4 linked regions of the Macaca mulatta genome follow. The protein of the gene in region 2 interacts with the protein of the main gene of each other region in a pairwise test. Links are inferred from orthologs where the notes say so. Each region holds a gene or a part of one and is shown on either strand. Other genes may lie near its edges.

Region 1 (7,213 bases), on a different chromosome or scaffold from region 2:
AGATTGAGACCATCCTGGCTAACACAGTGAAACCCTGTCTCTACTAAAAATACAAAACATTAGCCGAGCGTGGTGGCGGGTGCTTGTAGTCCCAGCTACTCAGGAGGCTGAGGCAGGAGAATGGCGTGAAGCCGGGAGGCAGAGCTTGTAGTGAGCCGAGATCATGCCACTATACTCCAGCCTGGGCGACAAAGCGAGACTCTGTCTCAAAAAAAAAAAAAAGAGCTTAGTAAGAATGAATCTGTTTACTAAAGACTGACTCTTCCTACCACAAACTGAACTGCAGAGGTGAGAAAAGTCAACAAATTAATTCTATATGTAATTAAACAAGTATTTACTGAATATGTACTCTATAATAAACATATACTATAAGAGATAAAAAGATGAACACATTTTACAGGCCCCTAGGGAGCTTAAAACATATTTCTAATGTTAAAAACACATGATTCCACTTATTTTTTATTTTTTTTAATTTTTGGAGACAGAGTCTTACTCTGTTGCCCAGGCTGGAATGCAGTGGCACGATCTTGGCTCGCTGCAACCTCTGCCTCCCAGCTGATTATCCTGCCTCAGCCTCCTGAGTAGTTGGCATTACAGGCACCCACCACCAAGCCCGGCTAATTTTTGCATTTTTAGTAGAGACGGGGTTTCACCATGTTGGCCAGGCTGGTCTCGAACTCCTGACCTCAAGTGATCCACCCACCTTGGCCTCCCAAAGTGCTGGGATTTACAGGCGTGAGCCATCGCACCCAGCCCATGATTCCATTTGTAACACCAAATGATATCTATTGATATCTAGACATATGAAGTTAAAAATAATATTGTTACAAATACAAAAAATTCTCAAAATTCTAGATATTTTGATTATCGTAATGGGCTCTGGCATTTCCTCATTTCACATTCAAAGTTTTAACTCGTCACAAATGGTCTCAAAGGTCCATGGTTAACAATGCTTCTCCTGTGGCAAAATGTGAACTTTTGCTGATTTATAGGCACCTTAACTTAAATAGTGATCAACACTGGCATCCGTCACAGCTTCGTTTTCTTTTTCTATAAACAGTAATTCTTTCTTTCTTTTTTTTTTTTTGAGACAGGGTCTTACTCTGTCACCCAGGCTGGAGTGCAGTGGCACAATCTCGGCTCACTGCAGCCTCCGCCTCCCCGGCTCCTTTCACCTCAGCCTCCAAGTAGCTGGGACTGCAGGCATGCGCCACGACACCCGGCTAATTTTTGTACTTTTTGTAGAGACAGGGTCTCACCATGTTACCCAGGCTGGTCTTGAACTCCTGAGCTCAAGCGATCCACCCATCTCAGCCTCCCAAACTGCTGGGATTACAGGCGTGAGACACCATGCCTGGCCAAAAGTAATTCTTATAAGATACTGCTTTTATTTGTAAGCAGAACCTAAGAAAAGAAAGCTAAAGGCAATACAAGTGATGGAAGGAAATAAAAAGTAATAAGGGGCATTCATTTCCAGCAATATAATGGACCAGAGGTATCCTGACCAACTCTTGCTGAAACCATATTACAAACGCCAAGTTTTCCAAAATATATATTTAAATGCTTTGGTAAGTTGACAAGTGAATAAGAAATATATTAGAGGCCAAAGCTAAGAGTAACTGGGAACCCAGAGAACATGTTTGATAAATCAGTTTGCCTTTGATAGCCTCAAAGAACATAGAAAACAGGGCTCACCCAAGGTGGGGACTGGAACAGGGAACCCTAAAAGGCGAATGAGAACTCAATCTTGTAGGAATTTTGGATTCGAGTCCTTTGTTGGTGATACGTGTTACAAATAACTTTTCCCACCCCACAGCTTCAATCTCTTAATGTTTTCTTTTGATGAACTTAAGTCTTTAAGATATAATCTTTTCCTTTATGACTTAATACTTTTTATATCTTCTTAAAGGCACTTTACAAAGGAAATCTTCATGCTATTTGACAAGAGGCTTGATCTGGCTGGGCACAGTGGCTCACAACTGTAATCCCAGCACTTTGGGAGGCTGAGGCAGGTAGATCACTTCGAGACCAGCCTGGCCAACGTGGTGAAACCCTATCTCTACAAAAAATACAAAAATTGGCGGCATGGTAGCACATGTCTATAATCCCAGTCATTCAGGAGGCGGAGACAGGAGAATTGCTTAAACCTGGGAGGTGGAGGTTGCAGTGAACCAAGACCACGCCACTGCGCTCCAGCCTGGGTGGCAGAGCGAGAGACTCCATCTTAAAAATAAAAAATAAAAATAAAAATAAAAGAGGCTTGATCTCATAAGTAATCAGGGAAATGCAGATTAAAGCCAGACATCTACTTAGTTGAGTATAATATGAAAACAAACAGGAACCAACCTGGGGAGAAAAATGAATATGAAAAAAATATAACCCAGTATACATATTTTTTCTTTTAAAAATAATAGAGATAGTGTTTCATCATATTCCCCAGGCTGGTCTTGAATTCCTGGGCACAAGCGATCCACCCACCTCAGCCTCCCAGAGTGCTGGGATTATAGGCGTGAGCCATCAAGCCCAGCCTAACCCAGGATTTTTAAAGGGGCAAATATGTGAATAAGCATTTCACAAAGAGGAAATCCAAATAGTGGTATTCAGCAAAAATCTTGACTCTAAGGGATGTGAACAGGTTCACCATTCTTCATTTCTAAGAGGAAGTAATTCATTCTGTAAGTATTAATTAATTTGGAGATTTCTGAGTCTCAGAACTTAAACTTTCACGACTTTCAAAATTATAAGGTTCATAATAGTAGGGACTATAGTTGTTTTGTTCAGGTCTAGAATAGTGACTGGCACTATCACACACACCAGAAAAGAGTTAAATACAACAATACACAAATGAAAAGAAGTAGGAAACCACAACGGTCTCGGTGTGAATTACCTTCCTGTGCTCTGACACTAGGAGCCTCAGCTGCATCTCAATGTCATTGCTTGTTACTGACGCGTCGATTGTGGACGCGCACAGAGGTGGAAAGGGAGGAAGGGATGTTGTAGCTCCAGGAGCACACACAGATTTAATTGCTTCCTCACTCATGGGCTTCCATTTGGATTCATCATTCAAATCAAAGACACAGGTTTCTACTGCATCAGACGGTTGACAGTTTCCCAGGAACATCTGATGGTTGAAAACACAACCAATCGTTCGATATGGGTACAGTGGTTTGGGCTGTTCAGCAACTGGAGGTTCATCAGGATTGGCAGGTTTATGGATGTACCTAAAAAAATTAAATAATTTTACATATGAGAACTTAAAAATTAAGAAGGCAGCATCTTACTGAGAAAATTATTCTAACACTTAAGGCCATAACTACTTTTTCAGAACTAGAGTTTAATACTTTTTTTTCTTTATTTCCACAATTTGATTACTCTGTATTAATTGTATGGTACATCTTACAATACTGAAACCAACTCTAAACAACAGAATACATTCTGTGTATACTGTTAAGATCAAAGGCCGGGTGCGGTAATACCAGCACTTTGGTAGGCCAAGGCAGGTAGATCACTTGAGGTCAAGAGTTCGAGACCAGCCTGACCAACGTAGTGAAACCCTGTCTCTACTAAAAACACAAAAATTAGCTGGGCGTGGGAGTGCGTGCCTGTAGTCCCAGCTACTTGGGAGGCTGAGCAACAAGAGTGAAACTCCGTCTCCAAGAAAAAAAAAAATCAAAAAAGTTTGCTTTAGATAACATAATTAAAATAATCTGGTTATGCATTTTTAGGCACAACTAACCAAAACATCACTGTGCATGATTATCAACCAGGGAGAAAAAGGACTCAGGGAAATGAAGAGGGCCCATGGCCAAGCCTCTAGAACACATGCATTTGAAGACAAGATGAAGGAAAAACTGCGAACAGCCAGAGAGGAATAATGAATACTGAAAGACAATTACAAGAAATAAGCTAAGGAAAGAGAATATCCCAGGAAGAGAAGTGAGACAGCCAGGTGGAAAGGGGTCCCCAGAGAAACTCCAACCAGCCTGTGCACTGGGAGGAGCGTACACTGGGGTGGAGCCACACAAGTTCAGCAATTTGCAGTGGGGAGGAGCCTGGCCCCTCCTCTTCCTGAGTGGACCCTGGAAGTGAATCTGCGAGGCGGGAAGCACACTAGCGGGCGCTCTGGCTTTGTGGAGGGTCCCTGTTTCCCAGTTTTTTTCCTTTTTGTCCAATAAATTCCATTTTTCTCCCCCTTCAAATTGCCTACGAGCCTAATTTTTCGTGGCAGTGTGACAAAGATCCAGCTCTTAGCTGAACTAAGGAGGAAGTCCTACAACAGAGGTACTCAGCTCTTTCAAAATCTGATGACAGGCTAAAGTACTTCAAAAAATGTGTCCAGTGGATTGCCAACATGGAGATGGTAACCACATCAAATTTTAAAAAGAAATAATGATTTACAACTTGAACTTATTTTCAGGCTTAGGGATGATCATCAGAAAAAAACATATGCCGGCCAGGCGTGGTGGCTCAGCACTTTGGGAGGCCGTGGCGGACAGCCTGCTTGAGCCCAGGAATTAAAGACCAGCCCAGACAACACAGCAAAACCTCATCCCTCCAAAAAAATTAGCTAGGCATGGCTGTGCACACCTGCAGTCCCAGCTACCCAAGAGGCTGAGGTAGGAGGACCACTGGAACCCAGGAAGGGGATGCTGCAGTGGGCTGTGACTGTGCCACTACACTCCAGCCTGGGCAACAGAGTGAGACACTGCCAAAAAAAAAAAAAAGAGAGAAAACTGAAAAAAAAAAGATGCTAATCATACACAACTAGTAAATATAATTTACTGTTTACGAACATCATGTTGGTAAAGAATATTTGAGGTAAAAATTTTCTTAGAGTTCATTTACTTAGCTGCCATAATTGAAGTACTTTTTTACGTAATCACTAAAAAGGCTCTAACTAAAATCATCAACACGTACCTTCAAGTACCATCAATATGGACAAAAAACCCTTATAATTTAAAATACTTAAAACTTAAGCTGGGCACGGTGGCTCACGCCTGTAATCCCAGCGTGATTGGGGGACTGAGGTGGGTGGATCACCTGAGGTCAGGAGTTTGAGACCAGCCTGGCCAACATGGTGAAAACTTGTCTCTACTAAAATTATAAAAATCAGCCAGGTGCAGTGGCGTGCACCTGTAATCCCAGCTACTGGGAGGCTGAGCCAGGAGAATTGGCTTGAACCTGGGAGGTGGAGGTTGCAGTGAGCTGAGATTGTGCCAGTGCACTCCAGCCTGGGCAACAGAGCAAGACTCCGTCTCAAAAAAAAAAAAAACTTATAACTTCATTTTAATATCCTTATACACTTAGTAGACTAACCTGTGTCCTGTTAAACTCTCCCAAAAAGTGATGGTCCCATCAGTTCCACAAGTCATAACCCATGCATGAGGTACTCCTTTTGCCTTGGTCCCAACACAAACAAAGGCTTCTAATCCATATCCAAGAAGAAGGCTGCACAGAAGGTTAGCATGATCTTCACAGTCACCCTGGAAGATAAGACAAATTAAAATGAAGTATTCGTTCTTCCATATTGTTTCCTCATTACTTACTTAAATACAAAGTTATAATAAAAATTTATTGGCCGGGCACAGTGGCTCACGCCTGTAATCCCAACACTTTGGGAAGCCGAGGCGGGTGGATCACTTGACGTCAGGAGTTGGAGACCAGCCTGGCCAACATAGGGAAACCCCGTCTCTACTAAAAATACAAAAATTAGCTGGGCGTGGTGGTGCACACCCATAGTCCCAGCTACTCGGGAGGCAAGGCAAGAGAATCACTGGAACCCGGGAGGCAGAGGTTGCAGTGAGCTGCAATCGCGCCACTGCATTCCAGCCCGGGCAACAAAGTGAGACTCTGTTTCCAAAAAAAAAAAAAAAAGTTTTATAAAGAACTCACACAACATAGAAAGAAAAGTAGAATTTTTTTTTTTTTTGAGACAGCCTTTTGCCTGTCCTGTCACCCAGGCTGGTGACATGATTCACAGCAGCCTTGACCTCCCAAGCTTAAGTGATTTTCCTGTCTCAGTCTCCCAAGTAGCTGGAACTAAAGGTGTGCACTGCCACACCTAGCTAATTTTTTGTATAAACGGGGGTCTTACTGTGTTAACCAGGCTGCTCTTGAACTCCTGGGCTCAAGCAATCCTCCTGCCTCAGCGTCCCAAAGTGTTGGGATTATAGGCATGAGCTCCTGTTCCCAGCCTGGAATATTTTAATAGATTAATAGCTGAAGGACATGAACAAACAAGCAAACAAGTCATACAGCAAGAAATGCAAATAAATGGAAAGCACTCAACCAATGACTGATAGTATCTATATGTGATAATTTCAAGAAAATATATATATATAGGAAAAATGACTGGCAAGAACAACAACAAAATGCCAACAATGGTTACTACTGGGGAGGTTATATATAATTTTCCACTCTATTTTCCAGATTTTCTTTGAGGTGGTTATATTACTTTCAATTTTAAAAGTTATAAAGACCTATAAAAAACCAGAAAATATTAGCTGGGCATGGTGGTGTGTGCCTGTAATCCCAGCTACTCGGGAGGCTGAGGCAGGAGAATCACTTGAACCCGGGAGGCGGAGCTTGCAGTAAGCTGAGATCGTGCCACTGCACTCCAGCCTGGGCAACAGAGTGAGACTCTGTCTCAAAAAAAAAAAAAAAAAGAAAAGAAAAGAAAATATCTGATACTGTGTTTTGTGAAAAAAATTACTAAGATATTAAACAGTATGGCTACAATTTTGTATTTAAGTGTACGAAAACTACAGGCAAAAGCAAAAATAACTATTTGAGTTGCGTTTCAGAATGAAGAACTTTCTTTTTTTTTTTCCTCTCGAGATAGGGTCTAGTTCTGTCACCCAGGCTGGAGTGCAGTAGGGGCGATCTCAGCTCACTGCTGCCTTGACATCCTCAGCTCACTGCAGCCTTGACATCCCTAGCTCAAGCGATTCCCCCGCTTCAGTCTTCTGAATAGCTGGGACCACAGGCGCTCATCACCAGGCCCAGCAATTTTTTGTGTTTTTGTAGAGACGGGGTTTCGCCAAGTTGCCCTGGCTGGTCTCGAATTCCTGGGCTCAAGCAATCTGCTTGCCTCAGCCTCCCAAAGTGCTGAGACTACAGGCATGAGCCACCTTACCTCGCCAAGAAATTTCTTTCTCCAAAAAATTTGCATTGGTGGTGCTACAGTTTTTTTTTTTTAATTAACTGTAAGAAA
Region 2 (7,213 bases):
CACCCCAGGGCTCACGGCAGGCAGGGGCTTCCTGAGTTGGGGGTGTGGGGGCTGCAGGGTTGGGGATGGAGGCCCAACTGACCCTGCCCTACCCAGCCACTCTGCCTGTGCCTGAGGCTTTGGGGATCAGCCCTGGCCAAGGACATCAAGCTCTGGCTGTCAGTGTAGTCTGGGAGGTGCCAGGACCGCCTGGCACAGGGGCAGGTGCAGCCTGGGGGTGAGGGGATGGAGGTGGAGCCTGCAGCCGGGATGGGTGGCCCTCACCTCTGCTTGGGGTCCTTCTTGAGCAGCCCTGAGAGCAAGGACTTGGCCTCAGGACCAAGCGTGCGCGGGAAGCGGATCTCCTCCATGAGGATGAGCTCAAAAAGCTTCTCGTGGTCCTGGTTGTAGAAGGGCAGGCGGCCGCACATCATCTCATACATGACCACGCCCAGCCCCCACCAGTCCACCGCACGGCCGTAGTCATTGTCCTCCAGCACCTGCACGGGCGGCAGATGGGCAGGACTCGGCATCAGGGGGTGTCCGGGGGAGGTGTCGTGACGTGCTTGGGGCACAGAGAGGACACAGCTTTGCGTGTGCTCGGGACGTGGGGACACAGCGACGCGTATGCACACAGGTGGGGCGCACACCTCGGGGGCCAGGTACTCAGGTGTGCCGCAGAAGGTCTTCATGGTGGCGCCGTCCTTGATCCCCTCCTTGCACAGCCCGAAGTCTGTGATCTTAATGTGCCCGTCCTTGTCCAGCATGAGGTTCTCCAGCTAGGGGAAAGGTGGCCTCAGGTCAGTGCCGCCAGGCTCCCAGGGCCCTGCCCCCACCCCGAGTGCCCGCCGGCGCACCTTGAGGTCCCGGTACACCACATTCTTCTCCGAGTGCAGGTAGTCCAGGGCTGACACGATCTCGGCGCCATAGAAGCGGGCCCGGTCCTCAGAGAACACACGCTCCCGGGACAGGTGGAAGAAGAGCTGTGGGAAGCACGACCTGAGGCACAGCCGTGGCCGGGGCCTCTGCCCCCACGGCCTGCAGGGTTGGGGTTTCTCAGGCAGGGGCTCAGGGCATTGGGCACAGGGAAGGGACCAGCCCCCAGAGGGCACGGGGGCCTGGAAAGTCTCAGAAGCCCTAACTCAGCAGGAACAAGTCACCCCACAGCAGGCAGCTGCCTGGGCAGGCGTCATACCACCCACCCAGCAGGGAGCACCGTCTGGTGCTGTGGAGAGTAGCCGAGGTTCCGGGAAGGACCAGCCCCACTATGGGTGGCCCAGCTGCCAGGGCTGGGTCCACAGGCCGTGAGGCCCATCCCCCGCAGCCCCAGCCCCTACCTCGCCCCCATTGGCGTACTCCATGACGAAGCAGAGGCGGTCGTGGGTCTGGAAGGAGTACTTCAGGGCCTGCAAGGAAGCGGAGCTGGAACTGCAGCCCCACGGGCAGGACAGCAGCCCCACACCACGCTGCCCGATACCATGCTGCTTGATACCATGCCACCCGTAGCCCCACACCATGCTGCCCGACACCACGCTGCCTGATACCATGCTGCTTGATACCATGCCACCCGATACCATGCCACCCGTAGCCCCACGCCACGCTGCCTCACACCACATTGCCCGATACCACGCTGCCCCACACCACGCTGCCCCGCACCACACCCCCACATCACACTGCCTCACACCACATTGTCCCACACCACACACCCCCACATCACACTGTCTCACACCACATTGTCCCACACCACACACCCCCACATCACACTGTCTCACACCACATTGTCCCACACCACACACCCCCACATCACACTGCCTCACACCACATTGTCCCACACCACACACCCCCACATCACACTGTCTCACACCACATTGTCCCACACCACACACCCCCACATCACACTGCCTCATGCCACACCCCCACACCACGCCATCAGGCTGGGCCCTGGCAGCCCCTGAGGCGCCAAGGAGTGTTTGAAAGGTGAGCAAAGTGGCCTGGGCTCAGGTCTCCAGGGCGGGTTGGGACCTCAACAGGGGGCAGTGCTCCCAGCACCAGAGCCCTGGCAAGGGAGGATGCACCCTCCCAGGCAGAGCCACCTTCCTGCCTTCCACCACAGGCGGCTGTGCTTTTAAAGCAAAGGCCCCTTCTGCAGGAGAATCATCCCCAAACACAGTGACCTGGAACTAACCACGTGGCTGGAGTCTGGCCCCCTTCACAGTAAATACCTCCTGGGTCGAGTCCCCAGAACGGGCTCCCCAGGACAGAGCCCGGGCCTCAACAGAAGCCTGGCAGGCAGGGCTGCAGGGCATGGGGAGCTGGGGCCTCCCGGAGCCTCGGCAGAGTGCAAAGACGACCAGGGCCACCTGCCCCACCTGCCTGCACACAGGAGCGGCGAGCACAGCCCCCAGCCCACATCGGGCACCTCCACAGCCTGACCCTCCGGGGCAGGCCTGTCACCAGCGGCAGAATCCGCGGTGCGTAAAGTCCTCACGTGCCCAAGAAGACAGGACATCGTTCCCTAGAGACAGCCCCAGGAGTCGCCACCTGACCCCAGCCCTTCAGCCCCATCTGGGCTCCCACTCACCGTGAGGAAGGGGTGCCTGGAGTTCTGCAGAACACGGTTCTCGGTGAGTGTGTGGGCCACCTCGTCCTGTAAGGCAGGGCTGGGTGAGCTGCCGCCCAGCATCCTCGTCTCCACCCTGCCCCACCACCCCGGCCCCACCTTGGCCACGATGACCTCCTTCTTGAGGATCTTCATGGCATAGTAGCGGCCCGTTGCCTTCTCCTTCACCAGGATCACCTTCCCGAAAGTGCCCTTGCCCAGCAGCTTCAGGTACTCAAACTCGTTCATGGTCTGTGGGCAGGCACCAGGGTCAGCGGGGGGCGCTGCCCACAGTGCCCAGCTGGTCGGCATGTGTCAGGTGGCATGGGGGCCCCAGAGTCACCCTTGGCAGACTTGGAGGCGGAGCCAGGAGAGGCGACCGCTTCACACCTGGTGGCCTGCGGGGCTCAGCGGGGAGTCCGGACTTACAGGGAACACACGGTGCAGCCCTAGCTCAGAGCGTGGGGTTCGGGGAAGGGTGGGGTAACACTGCCCAAGCCTGGCAGGGCTCAGCAGCCCCACTATTTCTCTGACATAGGGAAGAGGACCCACCTGGGAAGCAGCTGCGCCCCACATGGAAAACCGGCCTAGATGGGGATGCTGTGGAGTGCTGAGTGTCTCCTGGGCCAAGCTGGGACCCCATGACCCACCCAGCTCTCCACAGCCCAAGGTAGCCCCAGGCATAGGCAGAAAGGGGGACAGGCCTTACCACACGGTGCTTGGGTTTGGCCAGGGACACCTCCATCTCTTCAGCCCCTGAGTTGTCGCTGGGTGAGCCCGACCGGAAGTCCATCATCTCCTCCTCGTGCTTCTTGAGGCCATCGGCCACTGTCTGGATGGCGGTTGTCCACTCCTCCCTGCAGGAGGTCAGGTGAGGCTGTAGCCCTGCACCTCACCCCATGAGGTCAGGAGCTCCACCCCACGGCTTACACCCACCCTCCAGCCTCACAAGCGGGGTCCCCAGAGACAGCCCTGAGGAGGCCACCCCTTGACCTGGGCTGGCCACACACACTCAGGGTCAGAAAGCCCTTCTGGACCTGAGGGACACGCAGGCTTAGCCCCCAAGTAGGGTTCAAGCCCCCAGCAGGGCTCTGTCCCCACAGGCAAACTCCAACCCCCAGCAGGACCCAGGCCCACAGCAGGACTCCGCCCCCCAGGCTTGCTCTATCACCCAGGCTGGAGTGCACTGGTACAATCTCGGCTCACTGCGGCCTCCGCCTCTTGGGTTCAAGCAATTCTTGTGCCTCAGCCTCCCAAGTAGCTGGGATCACAGGTGTGCACCACCACACCCAGCTAAGTTTTATATTTTTAGTAGAGGCGGGGGTTTCACCATGTTGGCCAGGCCGGTCTTGAACTCCTGGTCTCAAGTGATCTGCCCATCTCAGCCTCCCAAAGTGCCAAGATTATAGATGTCGGCCACTGTGCCCGGTCCCTAGACAGTTTTTATCTCCAGCCTCAGTTTCCCCACCCAACCCCACAGGACTGGGCCAGTTTCCAAACCGGGCTCTGAGGAGGGCCTGGGATCACTGGGGAGTAAGGATGGCTATAGGCAGAGGCGCCCAGCACCCGCCATCCCCACGTCCCTCCTAAGCGCTAGGGCTGCCCAAGTGCCCGGCCTGGCCGCCGCAGCCCACGTACCGCTCCTCGGGAGTCTCCACGTGGAAGGTGCGTTCGATGACAGTGGTCCACTGCAGGCAGCGGATGATGAAGGTGTTGGGCCGGGGCCGCTCCGTCTTCATCAGCTGGCACTCTGCGGGCAAGCAGAGCCTCTGTCTGCATGCATCCCCCTGCCCCTCCCAGGGCCCTCACCACAGTCCCCACCGCACCAGCCAGCTCCCCTTGCATACCACCCACAAGTCCTAGGAAGCCCCACCTCCTCCTCTCTCCAAGCCTCAGTTTCTCGCCTCATAGAGTGGGGCTAGGACCCCCATTCCAGCTCAGACACTCTATTCCAGGTTGAGGCAGCCCCAAAGGGCATCTGGCCCAAGGTCAGGTCAACCCCCCCGCATCGTCCCCTCCTACAGTCCCCTTCCTTCAGTCACTGAGCCCCACCGTGCACCAGGCCTCAGAGGATGAGGGATATGGAGATCCCACAGAGGGGCTGGCATGAGGGGGCCACCCCAGAAAGCAGCTTGTCCCACCTAGTGTAGAAATGTCCTGCTATTTTCCCAATCTCACCCTGAGTACCTGGGAAATACACCTGGGGGCACACGCACACCTGGGGGCACAGCCACACCTGGTGCACAGCCACACCTGGGGCACACCACACCCGGGGCACACCACACCTGGTGCACAGTCACACCCGGGGCACAGCCACACCTGGGGCACAGCCACACCTGGGGCACACCATACCTGGTGCACACCCACACCTGGTGCACACCCAAACCTGGAGCACACCCACACCCAGGGCACACCCACATCTGGGGCACACCCACACCTGGAGCACACCCACACCCGGGGCACACACATATGTGGGGCACAGCCACACCCAGAACAGTCACACCCAGGGCACACCCACATCTGGGGCACAGTCACACCCGGGGCACACCCACATGTGGGGCACAGCCACACTCGGAACACAGCCACACCTGGGGCACACAGTCACACCAGGGGTACACCCACACGTGGAACACACCCACACCCGGGGCACACCCACACTCGGGGCACAGCCACATCTGGGGCACACACACACCTGGGGCACAGCCACATCTGGTGCACAGCCACACCTGGGGCACACACACACCTGGAGCGCACACACACCTGGGGAACACATACGTGGGGCACAGCCATTCCTACTGCACATACACCCTGAGGGCTGTGGGAACGTGCGGGGCCCTGAGAGGTGTGAGTGAGTGCAGTGTGTAGCCGCTGGGGCTCCTTGGCAGGCTCTGGCCCAGCCTGTGCAAAGCAGGAGGGGGCTGAGGGGCCAGTAGGGGGCCTCTGACATTCCAGCATCGAGGCCCTGGCAACCACAAGGGGGCCTGGCCAGGCAGCGAGGGAGCTGTCTTCCAGGCCTGGGGGCCAGGAGGGGGCTCGGGACCAGCCTGGTGGGGAGGGTGGCCTGTGTCAACACAGGCCAGAGAAGTGGAAACCAGTGTGAAGCCCCGGCACACCCACCTCCCACTTGCTCCTGGATGGTCTGATCTGCCCTAATATGCAATCCCCAGGGCCAGGGTCTCGAGCCCACTGCCCCGGAACCCTTCCCCGGAGAAAAGCTCCTGGCCCCTGCCCAGCTCTGCTCCTTGGCCAGGCACTCCAGACCACCCACCTATGGCCTCATCTGAAGGCCCCAGCCTTGCCGGCTGCTCAGGCACCACCCCAGCTGGTACCCACCCGTGTGCCTCCCCAGAGAGCTCCCCTCTTCCTTCCTTCCTGATGCCTCGGCCTGGCGAGCACACCCACAGCACCCGTCCCCAGCAAGGCCCTGTCCCAGGTGCCACCAGGCACACAGCGAGTATCCAGCCTCTCCCTGATCCCTGAAGCCCCCAGCCCCAACCAAGGAGACACTGGGGAGGGCGTGGGGCAAGTTACGCAGCCCTGCCACATACAGATGGCCCACAACTGGGTCCTACTTAGCTACTCAATCACACCTTTGGCTGCCACGGGCAGAGCTGGGCTCCAGGACAGGGACACAGAAAATGGGGACCATGCTGGGAGGCCCACGTGCCCCCAGCCTCCCACCTAGCAGGGCGCCTGGGTCTCCATGCCAGGGTTCCCGTCTAACATGGGTAGGGTCGCACCTGCCCCCGCTACAGGTAGGAAATAAAGCCACAGCAGGGCGAAGCAGGGAGTGTCACGTCTCTCATCTCTGTGGGATGCTCTGGCCAAGGTCCCCCGCTGGCCTTTCTGCACCCGCCCCTTCGTGGGCAAGGAGGCTTCCAGCCTGCAGCCTCACAGAGGGAAGCAAAGGTTCCGCCACGGGGTTTGGGGACCGAGCGCCTGTGCGGGCAGAGGCATGAGCTCTTCCTCGAGTGATGGAGGCTTCAGAGCTAGAGACCCAGGTGGGCTCTATCTGCCCCGCTTGGAGGAGGGGCCCCCGGGTCAGCTGTCCACCCTGAGGCTAGGCTCTGCTACCACTTGTCTGGACCCTCCAGCCTCCAGAGCATGGGCACCAGGGAACTGCTCCACAGTCAGCCAGCATTGGGACTCGGCCCAGAGACCCCCGCCTAGCCAGCCTCAGGACTCAGCTCAGAGACCCCTGCCCAGCCAGCCTCGGCCTCGGGACTCGGCCCAGAGACCCCCGCCTAGCCAGCCTCAGGACTCAGCTCAGAGACCCCTGCCCAGCCAGCCTCGGCCTCGGGACTCGGCCCAGAGACCCCCGCCTAGCCAGCCTCAGGACTCAGCTCAGAGACCCCTGCCCAGCCAGCCTCGGCCTCGGGACTCGGCCCAGAGACCCTCGCCTAGCCAGCCTCAGCCTTAGGACTCAGCCTGGAGACCCCCACCCAGTCAGCCTCGGCTTTGGGACTCAGCCTGGAGACCCCTGCCCAGCCAGCCTCGGGACTCAGCCCAGAGACCCCCACCCAACCCGTGCTTGTTGCTTGCTGGCCCAGAACATGGAGGCTCCAGGGCACCCCCATCGGGGGGCCTGGTGGGCAAAGAGGGCTCCAGCCAACCCCAAATCTGAATCCCGAAAGG
Region 3 (7,213 bases), on a different chromosome or scaffold from region 2:
ATAAAAGCAGCTTTAGGCCAGGCTCCAATCTGCCAGAGGTACACAGGCAGCTTCCTGGTGGGTTTCTGCACCTGCCAGTGCTGTCCGGGGATTTGGCCGAAAGATTTTTTTTTTTGAGACGAGGCCTCACTCTGTCGCTCAACCTGGAGCACAGTGGCTGGATCTTGGCTCACTGCAAGCTCTGCCTCCTGGGTTCAAGCGATTCTCCTGCCTCAGCCTCCCGAGTAGCTGGGACTACAGGTGCACGCCACAACACCACCCAGCTAATTTTTGTATTTTTAGTAGAGATGGGGTTTCACCACGTTGGCCAGGATGGTCTTGAACTCCGGAGACCTCAAGTGTTCCACCTGCCTTGGCCTCCCAAAGTGCTGGGATTATAGGCGTGAACCACTGAACCCGGCCCAAAGATTTTTAACTCCACCACTCACTCCCCATCTCATCTAGGGACTAGATTCTTGCCGGAAGGGTGGAGTGTGGGACAGGGCAGCCAGGCCTCTGAACTGACTTTCTTCTCCCAGACTCCCTTGGTTGGCCCCATTGCATCAGCCTAACTTCCTGTTGATGTCAGACAGGCCCTAGTTAGAATGGGAGTGTCACAGACACAGCTAAGCTCAGCACTGACCAATATTTTGTCCCAGAAGAATTCCCACAGGGTTTCCTGTAGAATGATCTTGTGCCCAGCCCAGGAGAGCCAGGGTTCTCCCTGACTCCGCCCTGAAGTCCCCTTAAGCGCTTAAACCATCTGATGGGGACAAATGGAGAGGACAGATGAGGGAGCAGGGTGGAGCCTTTTAGCAGAATGCTCCTCACCCAGAACCCGCTGCTATTCTGCAGCCAGCAAGGATGTGGGGCTGAGAACTGAGGCCAGGGCCTCACAGGAAAAAGGTAAAGGGGGAGGGGTGGGAACTGAAGCTCATTTGCTTCCCCAAGTATCCAAAGGTCTCCTGGATGGAGAACAGCATTGGAGTGAAAACCCCAGCACAAACCTTACTGGGGACAGTGGGCAACCTTGTCGGGTTAGTAAAAACAAATGGTGTGGCCCTGGAAAAAATGAGGGCCAGAGGCTATGAATAAAGCAGTGGATGTGTTTATTCAGTACACCAATGGGAAGAAGCACCCAGATGGGAGGAGTACTAGGGGTAGGAGAAATGCCAGGCAGATTCTAGTGCCAGGGCAAGAAGGAAGATCACTTTGTTTGCAGAACAGGGAGGGCACAGGGATGGCTCTGAGCTCCTACCTGAGAAAGCTTGCTCCTTCTTCCCTTTCTGGATGACCCAGGAGCCCTGGGTTGGGATGCAGTGACCTCATTTCCAGCCCCTTCCCTTCTGGAAATGAACCTCCCTATCTTCACTCAGAAAACAAGGGACTTGGACTAGAGGCACTACACAGCCCTTCCAGGATTCTAAAGGAGGAAGAGTTTCTTCTTCTGTTTCCAAAGCTGCCTGCTAGAAGAGGACTTCAACAGCCATCCCAGTTGGACGTATAGCAGGACCATGGAATTTCCCTTCTGCACCATAGGGACCCACCCTCCACTCTACCACTGTCCATGAAAACTGTTTTTGGTTTTGTTTTTTGAGACGGAATCTTGCTCTGTTGTCCAGGCTGGAGTGCAGTGGTGTGATCTTGGCTCACTGCAATCTCTGCCTCCTGGGTTCAGGCAATTCTCTGCCTCAGCCTCCCAAGTAGCTGGGATTACAGGTGCCTGCCACCAAACCTGGCTAATTTTTTGTATTTTTAGTTGAGATAGGGTTTCACCATTTTGGCCAGGCTGGTCTTGAACTCCTGACCTCGTGATCCACCCACCTCAGCTTCCCAAAGTGCTGGGATTAAAGGTGTGAGCCACTGTGCCTGGCCTAAAACTGATGGTTTTATTTTACATACGACTTGGGACTTCTCAGCCTCCTTTTCTTTCTTTTTTTTTTTTTTTTTTTTTTGACAGAGTCTTGCTCTCTCGTCCAGGCTGGAGTGCAGTGGCCCGATCTCGACTCACTGCAACGTCCATCTTCTGGGTTCAAGTGATTCTCCTGCCTCAGCTTCCCCAGTAGCTGGGATTACAGGTATACAACACCATGGTCAGCTAATTTTTTTGTATTTTCAGTAAAGACAGGGTTTTGCTATGTCGGCCTGGCTGGTCTTGAACTCTCGGCGTCAAGTGATACGCCTGCCTTGGCCTCCCAAAATGCTGAGATTACAGGCATGAGCCACCAAGCCCAGCCTTCTTTCTTTTTTTTTGAGACAGAGTCTTACCCTGTCACCCAGGCAGGAGTGCAGTGGCGCGATCTTGGCTGACTGCAACCTTTGCCTCCCGGTTCAAGTGATTCATAGTCTCCCAAGTAGCTGGGACTACAGGCACACACCACCATGTCCGGCTAATTTTTATATGTTTAGTAGAGACAGGGTTTCACCATGTTGGCCAGGCCGGCCTCGAATTCCTGATCACAAATGATCCGCCTGCCTCGGCCTCCCAAAGCATTGGCATTAGAGGTGTGAGCCACCGCACTTGGCTTCCTTTTCTATTTTTGAGACAGTCTCGCTCTGTCACTCAGGCTGGAGTGCATTGGCACGATCTTGGCTCACTGCAATCTCTGCCTCCCAGGTTCAAGTGATCCTCCTGCCTTACCCTCCCAAGTAGCTGGGATTACAGGTGTGTGCCTCCGTGGCTAGCCCTCCTTTTCTTTCTTTTTTTTTTTTTTTTTGAGACGGAGTCTTGCTCTGTCACCCAGGCTGGAGTGCAGTGGCCCGATCTCGGCTCACTGCAAGCTCCGCCTCCCGGGTTCACGCCATTCTCCTGCCTCAGCCTCCCGAGTAGCTGGGACTACAGGCGCCCGCCACCTCGCCCGGCTAGTTTTTTTGTATTTTTTAGTAGAGACGGGGTTTCACCGTGTTAGCCAGGATGGTCTCGATCTCCTGACCTCGTGATCCACCCGTCTCGGCCTCCCAAAGTGCTGGGATTACAGGCTTGAGCCACCGCGCCCGGCCTAGCCCTCCTTTTCAATTGGTTAGTGTCTTGTGGTTTTCCCACCTTCCCACAGTGGAAAATGGCTCAGGACTGAGTGACATGAAGACAAGCCCAGGGGTTTACACTCAACCCTTGCACCCAAGCTCTGGGCTAAGATTTTGGGGTGCTGAGCACCACCCCTTTTGTAAGGAATTTTGTAAAATTTTATCCAAAGCATCACTCACAACTCCACTTTCTTCACTTAAATAAGGATTTCCGCCCCATTGCTGCCAGGCATACTGAGCTTCACAGTCCCTATTTCTTTTTCCTGGTGCCTGGGCCTGGTTCTCTGAGCCTGGTGGTCACACCCATGACATCTGGCACAGAGTTCTCTAATAATGGGGATACCTAGGAGGTTCCGAGACACCTTACAGTCCTGGGTTAGTAACCTGGATCTCTTTCCACCTCTTTAGGCATTTTATAATCTACCCTTCCCCCTTCTTGTGGGTAAAGTGCTCCTGAATGCTTATGGTCCAAAATAAGACTTCTTTCCTATCCTATTTCCTATTTCCAAATCTTTCTCCAGATCCACCCTAGAGGAAGGGATCAAAATCTTTCACATTCCAGCAGCTGGTGACAGGCCAGAACAGGGAAGAGGTGAGGGCTCAGCTGGCTCCGTAAAGGAGTGCAAATGGAGGAGCAGGATCTCTCTCTGCCTCTCAGTTTTCCTAAACATACTTCTCAATTCCTGGCGAGGACTCCTCCCTCTCCACTTCCTCCCCTAGTCTCCCCAAGGAGGGAGCAGGAGCATCTGAACGCGGAAATCGAGGTGCTAGTCCAGACTGCTCGGTCGGCTTTAGTCATAGCTTGATAATGCCCGGCTCAGGTTTACCACAAGCCACACAGCTGCTTTCCCTGTTCAACCTGTCTGTGACAGAAACCATGGGGGCCCAGGCAACCAGTATCGAGGCGGTGGAATCGGGGTCTTACACACGGTTCTGCGGGCAGGCCACCGGCCAGGACACGCGGGGAGCCACGTAGCCGGGAGGGTGGGGCTGCCCACCGACCCAGGACGCGGCAACGGACCGGGGAGGGCGGAGCTCCAGCAATCGCCTCCCGTCCCCCGCCGGCACCCCCGGGCTCCCACCTGGTCCCGGCGCGGCCTGCGCGCTAGCGAGGTTCGCGCGGTGAAGTACTGCTCGAGCTCCGAGTCCGAGTCCTCTTGGCTGCAGTAGCCACTGCTCGTCGTGCTGCTCCAGGTCATCTCGAAAGAAGGCGTCTCCGCCTCGCCCATCGCCGCACCCGCCCGTCCCCCTGGTCCCGCGCGTCCGTAGCCACCAACCACCGCCCCGGTCGCGTGCGTGCGTGTACGCGTGTCAGTGTGCGCGTGCGCCCGGGCCAGCGCCGCGCCGCAACCGTTAAGACTGAAACGTAGATCGCCGGGATCTAGCTCTTGTGTCATTGGGGGAGGAACGCCGGGGCGGGGACACGCACACTTAGCCCCGAGGAATGACCTCATCGCTCCGGCAGCTCCACTCAGAGACCCCACCTACCACAGGGAACGGGGCGGGTGCCAGCGTCCGCGCAAGCGCACAAGGGTGGCCTCTGGCCGGAGGCGAGGGCGGGAAGGTGCGGGAAGTGCGCGTGCGCGGAGCCTGCGTCCGCCTTGGCTGGGGACTGCTAGCGGCTGGGGTCTGCTAGCAGCCGGTGGAGGCCTTGCGGAGCCGGCAATCCAGGCACCCCTCTCAGCCCTCGCTCAGAATTAGCCTCTCTCTGCCGCCGGGAAATCGGCACTTAGAACGCTCCTTGCGCGCAGCACCCAGGCAGTCTTCGAGAATGCCTGCGCTGTGGCCTGCCCGTCCTCGCCCTTCCCATACGCCCTCGGCCCCGCGCTCACCACGTTCGTGTCCCGCTCCACCGCGGGTTCCCAGCCCAGGTCCCGGGGCCCGCAGCAGTCCAGGCAGACGAGCGCGCGGCAGCGGTAGTGGCAGGTGAACTTGCAATCTGCAGAGAGGCCTAGCCGTGAGGCGGAGGAGCCCCAGGTCGGGGAAATGTCCGGGAGATTGAAGGGAAGCCCCAGGAAGAGGGCCGTTGCCCGCCAGGCTCCGCAGGCCCGGCTTCAGTGTTTTACCTTACACTGCTATGCGGACTTTAATGTTGGCCACCCTGGGTGTCTGGAAACCGGCCGGAAGGCCACAGCAGAGGCCTGCTCAACAGTTGGGATCTCTGTCGCCTAGCACAGAGCTTCCCCTTTCCTCATTGGCAATTAAAAAAAAAAAACCAAAAACCGGAGTCTTCCTTTTGTCACCCAGGCTGGAGTGCAATGGCGCGATTTCGGCTCGCTGCAACCTCCGCCTCCTGGGTTCAAGCGATTCTTCTGCCTCAGCCTCTCGAGTACCTGGAATTACAGGCGCCCGCCACCACGCCCCGCTAATTTTTGTATTTTTAGCAGAGACAGGGTTTCACCATGTTAGCCAGGCTGGTCTCAAACTCGTGACCTCAGGTGATCCACCCGCCTCGGCCTCCCAAAGTGCTGGGACTACAGGCGTGAGCCACCGCGCCCGGCCCTTCATTGGGAACTTCTATGGAATACATCTGCCCATTTACTTGAAGGAAAAACTAAACACCTTTAACCTACCTCTGCCCTCTGGTTGTCATCTGTCTGTACTCCCCTCAGACCAAAACATTGGTCTCTATACACTCTAATCCTTCGCCTTCACTCTCCCATCTACCCACTTCAGCCAGGCTTGCCTCTCCCTCCAGGAAACTGCCCAGGACAGGGTCCTCAGCGATCTATGCGCTGCCAAATGGAATGCAGTGTTCCATTCTCCATTCTCACCCACTCAGCATCATTTGAAGCTTGCTCCCTTTGACTCCCAGGGGCTACACTGCCAGTTTTCCTCCTACCCCCCCTGCAGCTCCTGCTCAGCTCCTTTGCAGATTCTGACTCAACTTCCGTATCTCATGATGAAGTCTGGGCTCAGTCCTGATCGCTGGCCTGGTCTGTCTACACAATCTTCTGCCCCAGATCCACAGCTGAAACACTGACCTAAACCCTCAGATTAGATCCTCCGTGCCAGTACCTTCACTAGGATGTCTAAAAGACGTTTCAAGTGAACATGGCCAAAATTTAATTCCCTTTTCTTCCACCTCACTGCTACCCTTGCCCAGCTTCCTCTTTGCAGCAAAAATGGCCACTATGCTCCCGGTTACTGGAAACAAAAACCCAAACTTATCGTTGATTCCTCCCTTGTCTCTACCTCTGATAAACATGCCCAAATCATCCTGCTTCTTATCTCTATGGCCACTTTATTTCTCTTTGAGAATGCTGCAGTGTCCCAGCCTTTTTCTTCCTTCCTTCCTTCTTTCTTTTTTTTTTTTTTTGAGACAGTCTCAATCTGTCCCCAAGGCTGGAGAGCAGTGGCGTGATTTCAGCTCACTGCAACCTCCGCCTCCTGGGTTCAAGCAATTCTCCCACCTCAACCTCCTGAGTAGCTGGGATTACAGGCACCCGCCACCACGCCTGGCTAATTTTTTTGTATTTTTTAGTAGAGACGGGGTTTCACCATGTTGGCCAGGCTGGTCTTGAACTCCTGACCTCAGGTGATCCACCCGCCTTGGCCTTCCAAAGTACTGGAATTACAGGCCTGAGCCACCGTGCTCGGCCCTTGTTTATTCTTTGTATTCTGTCACAACTTTGTGCTCCCCCCAGCTGAATTTGTGATGTCCTCTTGTACCAGATGAGAGGGTCTCCATGCACATACAGACCTGGGACACCATCTATCCACTAGTTCCTAAATGGGTCAGAGCACTGATGCTCAACCCAGACTCCATGTTACAATAATTTGGGGATTTAAAAAAATTTACTGCTGCCTTGAGTCCACTCCCAGCAGCTGATTCAATGGGTCTGAGGTGGCATCCAGGCTAGAGGGTGGGAGGGCTGTAAAAGCGCCCCTGGTGATTCCAGCTGGTGTCTAGCTAGGGGAGAGCAACCTTTGCTTGCTGGCGATTCCCAGGGGTGCAGAAGGACTGCTGGGTGTGTGGCTGCCTTCCATATTTTAGCTTCTGATTCAAGGGTGTTTGCTAAATACTCAACAAAACTCCTGCTTGCAGGGGGCACACCCAAGGTTCTAACTTTTTCCAGGCTCCCTCCCATAGGTGGGTAACTTCCCTTCACCCCAAAGGTTCTGGAGGGGGTCACAGTGAGTGAATGTTTGAGAAGAGGCAAGCCTGGGAAGATGGACTCCGAGGACAGTAGGCACAAACCCTTTCTCA
Region 4 (7,213 bases), on a different chromosome or scaffold from region 2:
CATGAGATGACAGTCCTAATAGGAAGCTGAAAATAATGTTAGGTACTAACAGAATATGATGATCTCTTTTTCTCAACTGAGGTTGGTATGTTTTGGCTATCTTAGGAACTACATGATTACATAATCTCAAAACAGCCAAAGGAAAATGGAGGCCTAGGTATTAGTGATGTAATAGCTCCAGCTCCTCACCTGCGGTTGGTAGCCAACAGTAGCCACACAGCGGTGATCCACAAAAGTGAAGATTCCCTCAATGTTGTGTCGGGAGATGAACTCTGTTGGTTGACAAACATTACTCATGTCTGTACAATTGGGAGAACTAGTTACCTGAGAGTGAAGAGATAAAAATGAGGTAAAATGACACCAGTCTTTACAGATGTATTTCCTATCTCCTCATGGTCTTTTGCATACACATAAGATTCCGTTTTAGGACTTTCTAAACGTTCACATTTTATCCAAAAAGGAAAAAAAATGACAATCACAATCAGACAAGGCATAAGGTCTAGCTCTACTCCCAAACATTTACACTTTACCAAGTTAGTAAAGTAAGAATAAAGTTTATTCAACCCAAAATCCACATACTTTCATCTAGCTAGGCTGAGCTCATTACTCAGGCTGATATGGTACAAGTAACCAAGAAACTTATCTATACTTATGAAAAAAAATCAAAATAATTCCACTTTTCTAATGTTAGTCAGGTAATGATAAAATGAAAAGGATCTTTCTTCTTTTGTACAGGGGGAAAGGAGATTAACTGGCAATTGAAAATTAAGCATAGTAAAGCTAAAATTAAGACAAGGGGAAAAAGATCTCCCTCCTCTCATGCTTTTCAACTTCTACTTAAGTCCAAGAATAGCAATGGTCACTATAAATGCCATATTCCTTCAAATTTTTACAGTTTTGTGGAATTCTTCATTTGTATTCAGAAAGTAAAAGAAAATTAACAGGAATGAGTCCTGAAGATTTTTTCTAATTGAAAGGGGATATACATATGGAAAATTCATACTTGCCTGCAATCTGCCAATGGCCACTAGGCAAAACTTGCTTCCCTGGCCAGCCTCTGGGTCATCATCTGGGAGGGAAACACCTTCAGAAAGGTGAGGTTAAAAGGTTTAACAGGGACCTCCAACTCAAATGCCTTCAAAACTCAGACAAGTAAAGATTCAAAATAGACCTATTTATGGGCCAGGTACCGTGGCTCACGCCTGTAATCCCAACAATTTGGGAAGCCGAGGTGGGCAGATCACTTGAGGACAGGAGCTTGAGGCCAGCCTGACCAACACGGTGAAACCCCATCTCTACTAAAAATACAAAAATTAGCCAGGCGTGGTGGCATGCGCCTGTAATCTCAGCTACTTGGGAGGCTGAGGTGAGAGAATCACTTGAACCCAGGAGGTAGAGGCTGCAGAGAACCGAGATTGCGCCACTGCACTCCAGTCTGGGTGACAGACAGAGTGAGACTCCCTCTCAAAAAAAAAAAACAAAAAGCAAAACAAAACAAAATACATCCAGTTATGAAGAGGCTAAGCATAAAGCAATAGAGAATGATAAATAAGAATAAAAATAAACAATTACGTAAAATTTACCATATATGCCAGTCATTGTTTTAAGTATTTACATATATATTGATTCCTACCTTTTACCCATGTTAATTATAGTAAACTGGAAATACAAGTCCTACCCAGAGTATTCTAAAAAACTATGCTGGCCAAATAAGGCATATATGAAGACATCCATTCTATGACCATGTTATAGGCAGAAAATGTATGCTTTGCCTCATCTGTGACTTTTAAAGTTAGCAAGCAACCCAAAATGAAGTTATACCAACCATCAATAGTTATTCATGTCCCTTGGAAAAGAGAGAAACCAATGTTTTACAGAGAAAAGGAAGAAGACTGCATTTCTCCCCTATTGTTTGCACAGTTTCTTTTTATCCAGAAAAATAGTACTCCTTGATGCTACACAGAGGTACGAAAGATAACATACTTTAAATGTATGGATTATGTAGTATATAGACTAATTCAAATGTCATTACTACTTCAGTGAAATTTTTTTTAATTACATTAACTACTTTTATTGGGTACCTGCCACATGCCAGGCACTGGGCTGGATGCTTTCCTTAAATTAAATCTAATCCTCACAAAACCCCTATACAGGATGTACTAACTCCAAATTACAGATGAGAAAACTGAGCTTTATAAAGGTCAAGCAACTTACCCTAGGCAATGCCACTAATAAATAACAATGACAGGAATCATACCCAGGTTTTTCCACGTCCAAAGTTTAACCTCTTTCTGAAACACATCACCTTGCTTCTCTTTTCTCTTAGTTTCTGTCTCCCCCAAATCCCTACTTTCCAATAATATCCATGCGGCAGGGAAGTAATAAAGTTGCTAAGATTTGGAAACTCTGACAAGCCAACTTAAAACGTTGATCCCTGCAACCCAATCACCTTTCTCACATTCCGTGTTTGACCTCAAGTTCTAGTAAAGCCAATCTGCTCAAAGCTTGATTTAAAGCCTTTGCAGAGAATATCCTCAATAAGTTATTACAATAAAGGCATTTCCCCCTTTTCCCTCAAAGTCTTGTTCCTAGTTTAGAAAGCTTTCTCAAATTAACTGCATTCAATGTCTATGCTTCTTTGCAAGAAATGCTTAGAACACATACGTTCAGTATAAATTTGTGCATTTAAAGACCACATTCTGTGACATAGCCAACACTGAATCATTTTCCAGCCTGAATTATCTATCTCCTCAACTGGAATAAAAGCTCAATAACGGAAGGGAAAGATTGTGTATTTTACTTTCCTATTTTCTTTCATATTATACAAAAGTACATTTCATATACCAGGTATATAATAAATATTAGTTTTCATGGACTCTGTGAGAAACCAACGGCTCTAAGGGGAAATATCTACTGTTTCACTTTCTTACCTGCTGGGGGCCAGGCCTTGATGTAGCCTGTGCAGTGGACCACCACGAAGTGAGGTTCCCCATCCTTTACAGAGCCAAGTCCATTCCTAGAAGAGTTACAGGAATTAGAAAAAAAAAAATCTACCCAGTAAAACTCAAAGGGCAATGCTGGCTTAGTACCTTTAAGTTTAGGCTCTTAGGAGTTTACAAAACAGGATAATCAGCTTTCCCACCCAAAAATGACCACCACATTTTTACCCTTGCCAAAGTAAAGTAACCAAAAGGTATGCAGTAGGAGGAAAGCAGGTAAAATAGCATAGCAACTTCCTTAAACAGGATTTTCAAGAGAAGTTTTAGAAGTTTAGGAAAATATTGCCAGAAAAAAAAGTAACTGGGAGGTAAGGGATGAAAGTGAGGGCTGCTGAAGGAACAACTACAGTAAGATAGGTAAAAATGTGATGATCTCTACAGGTATTTGGCCATCCCTTTGGTTTTCACCACTTAGGATCTCACCTGCATCTGTTCCTCACAAAGCTCAGCCTATTCACAGAAACTGGGTCCACAGAGCTACTGCCACACCTGTTTCAAAGAACAAAGAGATTAAAAGCAATCAGGCTGCACTATCAAAGAACTTTCCACAGTAATAGCAGAATAACAGGCTCTGGATACAATTAGACATAGAAAATTGGTAATGCTTCTAAGAATGAAGGATAAAGGTAAGTCAGGTTTAGTATTTCTAGAACTTTTAGAATTTGAAGTCAAAATGTTCCATATATTCTTCAAATGCAAATATTCTCAACAACAAGAGTTGGTAAGCTTTTTCTGTAAAGTACCAGATAGTAAGTATTTTCAGCTTCATGGGCCAGAAGGTCTGTTGCAACTAGTCAACTCTAGCATTATAGCATGAAAGTAGCCATAGATAATATGTAAAAATATGGGCATGGCTATGTTCCAATAAAACTTTATTTACAAACAAAGGGCTGTGGTTTGCTTACTCCTGCTCTACATTAACCACAACTTAATGTAATTGCTATAGTTCATTATTATCTCACTCTTGCCTATGTCTTTGCATTAGCCATGTCCACATATTGGGATACTCCTGCCAATGCTACTTTCCCTCTCCCCATTCTATAAAATAAAAATAAAAGTTACATAGGGTTAATACATGTCATGCTCTGTTCTAAATATCTTTACATATATTAATTCATCTAATCTTCATAACAACTTTATAAAGTCAGTATTAACATTATCGCCATTGAGATGATTAAATCAAAGCACAATATAGTCATGTAATCATCCAAGGTTTCAGAAGATAGCATCAAAGCTAGAATTCAAATCCACAGAATATGGATTAAAACAAAATCCAGCAGTCTGAGTCTAGAAGCTACTCTAAGTTACAAGCTGGGCACAGTGGTTCAGGCCTGTAATCTCAGCACTTTGGGAGGCCGAGACAGGCGAATCACTTGAGGTCAAGAGTTTGAGGCCGGCTGGCCAACATGGTGAAACACTGTTTCTACTAAAAATACAAAAATTAGCCAGCTGTGGTGGCATGCGCCTGCAATCCAGCTACTCAGGAAACTGAGGCATGAGAATCGCTTGAACCTAGGAGGTAGAGGTTGTAGTGAGCCAAGATCATGCCACTGCACTCCAACCTGGGCAAAAGAGCAAGACTCTGTCTCAAAAAAATAAATAAATAAAAATAAAAATAAATCACTAAACCACATAATGTTCAATTTTGTGCCTCTCCAAGCAAACCTTTAATATCCTACCCATAATTTCTAGCAACCATCCTTTTAGTACAATGTAGTCAATTTCCATTATATAACCTGAATTTTGTGACCCCAAGATGTCTTTTGTACCTGTTTAGAAAGGACCACCATCTTTTCTACAGAATCCTAAAATATACAGTATATCATTTATAAACACTAAACACTAACTGAAAGACATAGGAAGTCTCAAATTTCTAACCAAAAACAAAAAGAAGAAATGGTCTGAGTAAATGGATATTGCCTTGTGTTTTAATGGGGAAAAAGTACAGGTTTTGTAGTCAGACAACTATGAATTAAAACAAAATCCTGTATCAAACACTATGTAATAGTGGGAAATTCATTTCTTTTTCTCTTTTTTTTTTTTTTGAGACAGTTTTACTCTTTTTGCCTAGGCTGGAGTGCAATGGCACAATCTCGGCTCACTGCAACCTCTGCCTCCTGGGTTCAAGCAATTGTCCTGCCTCAGCCTCCGAGTGGCTGGGATTACAGGTGCACACCACCACACCCGTCGAATTTTGTATTTTTTTTTAGTAGGGACGGGGTTTCACCATGGTGGCCAGGCTGGTCTCGAACTCCTGACCTTAGGTGATCCACCCTCCCCAGCCTACCAAAGTGCTGGGATTAGAGGCTTCAGCCACCGCACCCAGCCAAGTTCATTTCTTTATATATGTTTTTCCATCTGCAAAACGGTAACCATCAATCTTACACTACAGGGCAATTGTGAGGATGAAATAAGATGACAGAAAGCACCTATCATAGTGTCTGGCAAGTTCAGAAACATTAGTTCCTTTACCAAATACTTTATTCTGTGTTACAATCCATCTGGGTAGGGAGAGTTAAGTTTAATCCACTGGAGCTAATCCAACTTAACTCCAACAGAAATAAAACTCTCAGCTCTTGATCCTTCCTATACCAAATCACAATCCTCAGCTTGACACTCACCTCATTCGGCAAATAAATGATCTCCTTGAGCCCATACACATTCTCATGGAAGACTGTTGACCTTCCTTTTTCACTGTTCCAGTCTTTAGATCCAGGATACGCCCTGAAGGAGGATGTGAAGAGCAGTCTGGAGTGCATTTTTGTGTGTGGGGAAGAGGGGGAGAGACACTGAAGGCAAAGATAAGTAAGCATCCTATTCATGCCCTTAATCTCCTTGCTTAGAACTGACCAAGCAGGAGATGATTTTTTTTTTAAGTCTAAAATACTTCAATTATCATCAATGAATCTCACTCTTAAGTTCAAAGGCAGCACTGAAAATAACATTGTGCAAGGAAAAGTAGGAGTGGAAAGTAGTATTAGAAAACAAGAGGCAAGGCTATATTCTCATGCCTGATTATTTGTATACACATACAGACATACATACAGAGTAAACGTCAGTGGTTGAAAAACAAGTAATTTTCTGTAGTCTCAGCTAATCAGGAGGCTGAGGCAGGAGGACTGCTTGAGCGCAGGAGTTTGAGGCTATAGTGTGCTATGACTGTGCCTGTGAAGAGTCACTGTACTCCAGCCTCAGCAATAAAGCAAGACCTTGTCTCAAAACAAAACAAAAATAAAAAATTTTACAAATAAAAAAACCAAGTAATTTTATATGTTATAGAAACATATATATCTGTTTGTCTTCTTTATTATATAGAAACGAAGAACAACTTTTGGGGAAAAGGAAGAACTAGAAAAATGAAATCATAAAAACATACAGGAGGGGAAAACTGGTCAAGTGCAGTGGCCCATGCCGGTAATCCCAGCACTTTGAGAAGCCAAGGTGGGAGGAATGCTGAAGACCAGGAGTTTGAGACCAGTCTGGGCAACAGACAGAACCTGTCTCTACAAAAAATTTAAAAATTGGCCAAGTGTGGTGACATGAACTACTCCTAGCTACTCAAGAAGCTGTAAGAAGGCAGATCACTTCAGCCCAGGAGAGTTCAAGATTACAGTAACCTATGATGCACCACTGCACTCCAGCCTAGGCAAGAGAGTGAGACCCTGTTTCTTTTTGGGGGGAAAAAAAAGGAGAAAAACTAAAGATCAACAACACTAATATGAGTATATTGAAATTTCTTGCATTTTAACTACCAGTTTTTATCTGCTTCCACTTTAAATTTTTTTCTAGAGTTGCTCAAGAATAGATATGACTTGTTTCCTCTAGCCAAACTCTGGCCAAAAGACTGAACATAATAAAATAGGGGAGAAAAAAAGAACAACAGTACAGATACAAACAACAACATAAAACACCTTGTACACCGACCAATGACCATATCTATAGAATAAAAAGCTGTTATCATTGAACCTAGCACAAAGCCAAGCACTAGGAGGTAGAAAAAATACCAGATAATTATCCATACAAATGAGATAAAAGCATGGGTAATTCCCTTAGTATGGAAAAAAAAAAAAAAAAAAGTACTGTAAGTTTGGCTTTTACTGTTCTATTTACACTAATATTAAGATAAATGTAAAATATTATCATTAATGAAATATTTTCTAAGGATGAGCCACAAAGTAGATAATCTCATATGGATAAAAAGAACTCCTTTATAT

The links.
Region 1: the proteins of AKT1 (region 2) and CEP76 interact in binary tests that used the Homo sapiens proteins (3 or more experiments, as listed by UniProt). The link is inferred for Macaca mulatta from reciprocal best matches to the Homo sapiens genes AKT1 and CEP76.
Region 3: the proteins of AKT1 (region 2) and RASSF1 interact in a protein complementation assay, tested with the Homo sapiens proteins (2 studies listed by BioGRID and IntAct, with this or other methods). The link is inferred for Macaca mulatta from reciprocal best matches to the Homo sapiens genes AKT1 and RASSF1.
Region 4: the proteins of AKT1 (region 2) and ARNT interact in a protein complementation assay, tested with the Homo sapiens proteins (2 studies listed by BioGRID and IntAct, with this or other methods). The link is inferred for Macaca mulatta from reciprocal best matches to the Homo sapiens genes AKT1 and ARNT.

What each region holds. Positions count from the first base shown.
Region 1 is NC_133423.1:83,351,472-83,358,684, forward strand, and holds part of CEP76 (centrosomal protein of 76 kDa), read right to left. Parts: intron 5,484-7,213; coding exon 5,317-5,483; intron 3,903-5,316; exon of another isoform or gene 3,726-3,902; intron 3,222-3,725; coding exon 2,888-3,221; intron 1-2,887. UniProt on the Homo sapiens protein: Centrosomal protein involved in regulation of centriole duplication. Required to limit centriole duplication to once per cell cycle by preventing centriole reduplication.
Region 2 is NC_133412.1:178,213,034-178,220,246, forward strand, and holds part of AKT1 (RAC-alpha serine/threonine-protein kinase), read right to left. Parts: intron 4,329-7,213; coding exon 4,217-4,328; intron 3,436-4,216; coding exon 3,288-3,435; intron 2,831-3,287; coding exon 2,699-2,830; intron 2,627-2,698; coding exon 2,561-2,626; intron 1,386-2,560; coding exon 1,317-1,385; intron 963-1,316; coding exon 837-962; intron 759-836; coding exon 630-758; intron 480-629; coding exon 265-479; intron 1-264. UniProt on the Homo sapiens protein: AKT1 is one of 3 closely related serine/threonine-protein kinases (AKT1, AKT2 and AKT3) called the AKT kinase, and which regulate many processes including metabolism, proliferation, cell survival, growth and angiogenesis.
Region 3 is NC_133407.1:113,812,637-113,819,849, forward strand, and holds part of RASSF1 (ras association domain-containing protein 1), read right to left. Parts: intron 5,179-7,213; exon of another isoform or gene 5,070-5,178; intron 4,955-5,069; coding exon of another isoform or gene 4,943-4,954; coding exon 4,836-4,942; intron 4,488-4,835; coding exon 4,086-4,487; exon of another isoform or gene 2,947-4,085; intron 2,519-2,946; exon of another isoform or gene 2,371-2,518; intron 1,976-2,370; exon of another isoform or gene 370-1,975; intron 1-369. UniProt on the Homo sapiens protein: Potential tumor suppressor. Required for death receptor-dependent apoptosis. Mediates activation of STK3/MST2 and STK4/MST1 during Fas-induced apoptosis by preventing their dephosphorylation.
Region 4 is NC_133406.1:116,276,183-116,283,395, reverse strand, and holds part of ARNT (aryl hydrocarbon receptor nuclear translocator), read right to left. Parts: intron 5,748-7,213; coding exon 5,621-5,747; intron 3,489-5,620; coding exon 3,423-3,488; intron 3,017-3,422; coding exon 2,931-3,016; intron 1,085-2,930; coding exon 1,008-1,084; intron 325-1,007; coding exon 190-324; intron 1-189. UniProt on the Homo sapiens protein: Required for activity of the AHR. Upon ligand binding, AHR translocates into the nucleus, where it heterodimerizes with ARNT and induces transcription by binding to xenobiotic response elements (XRE).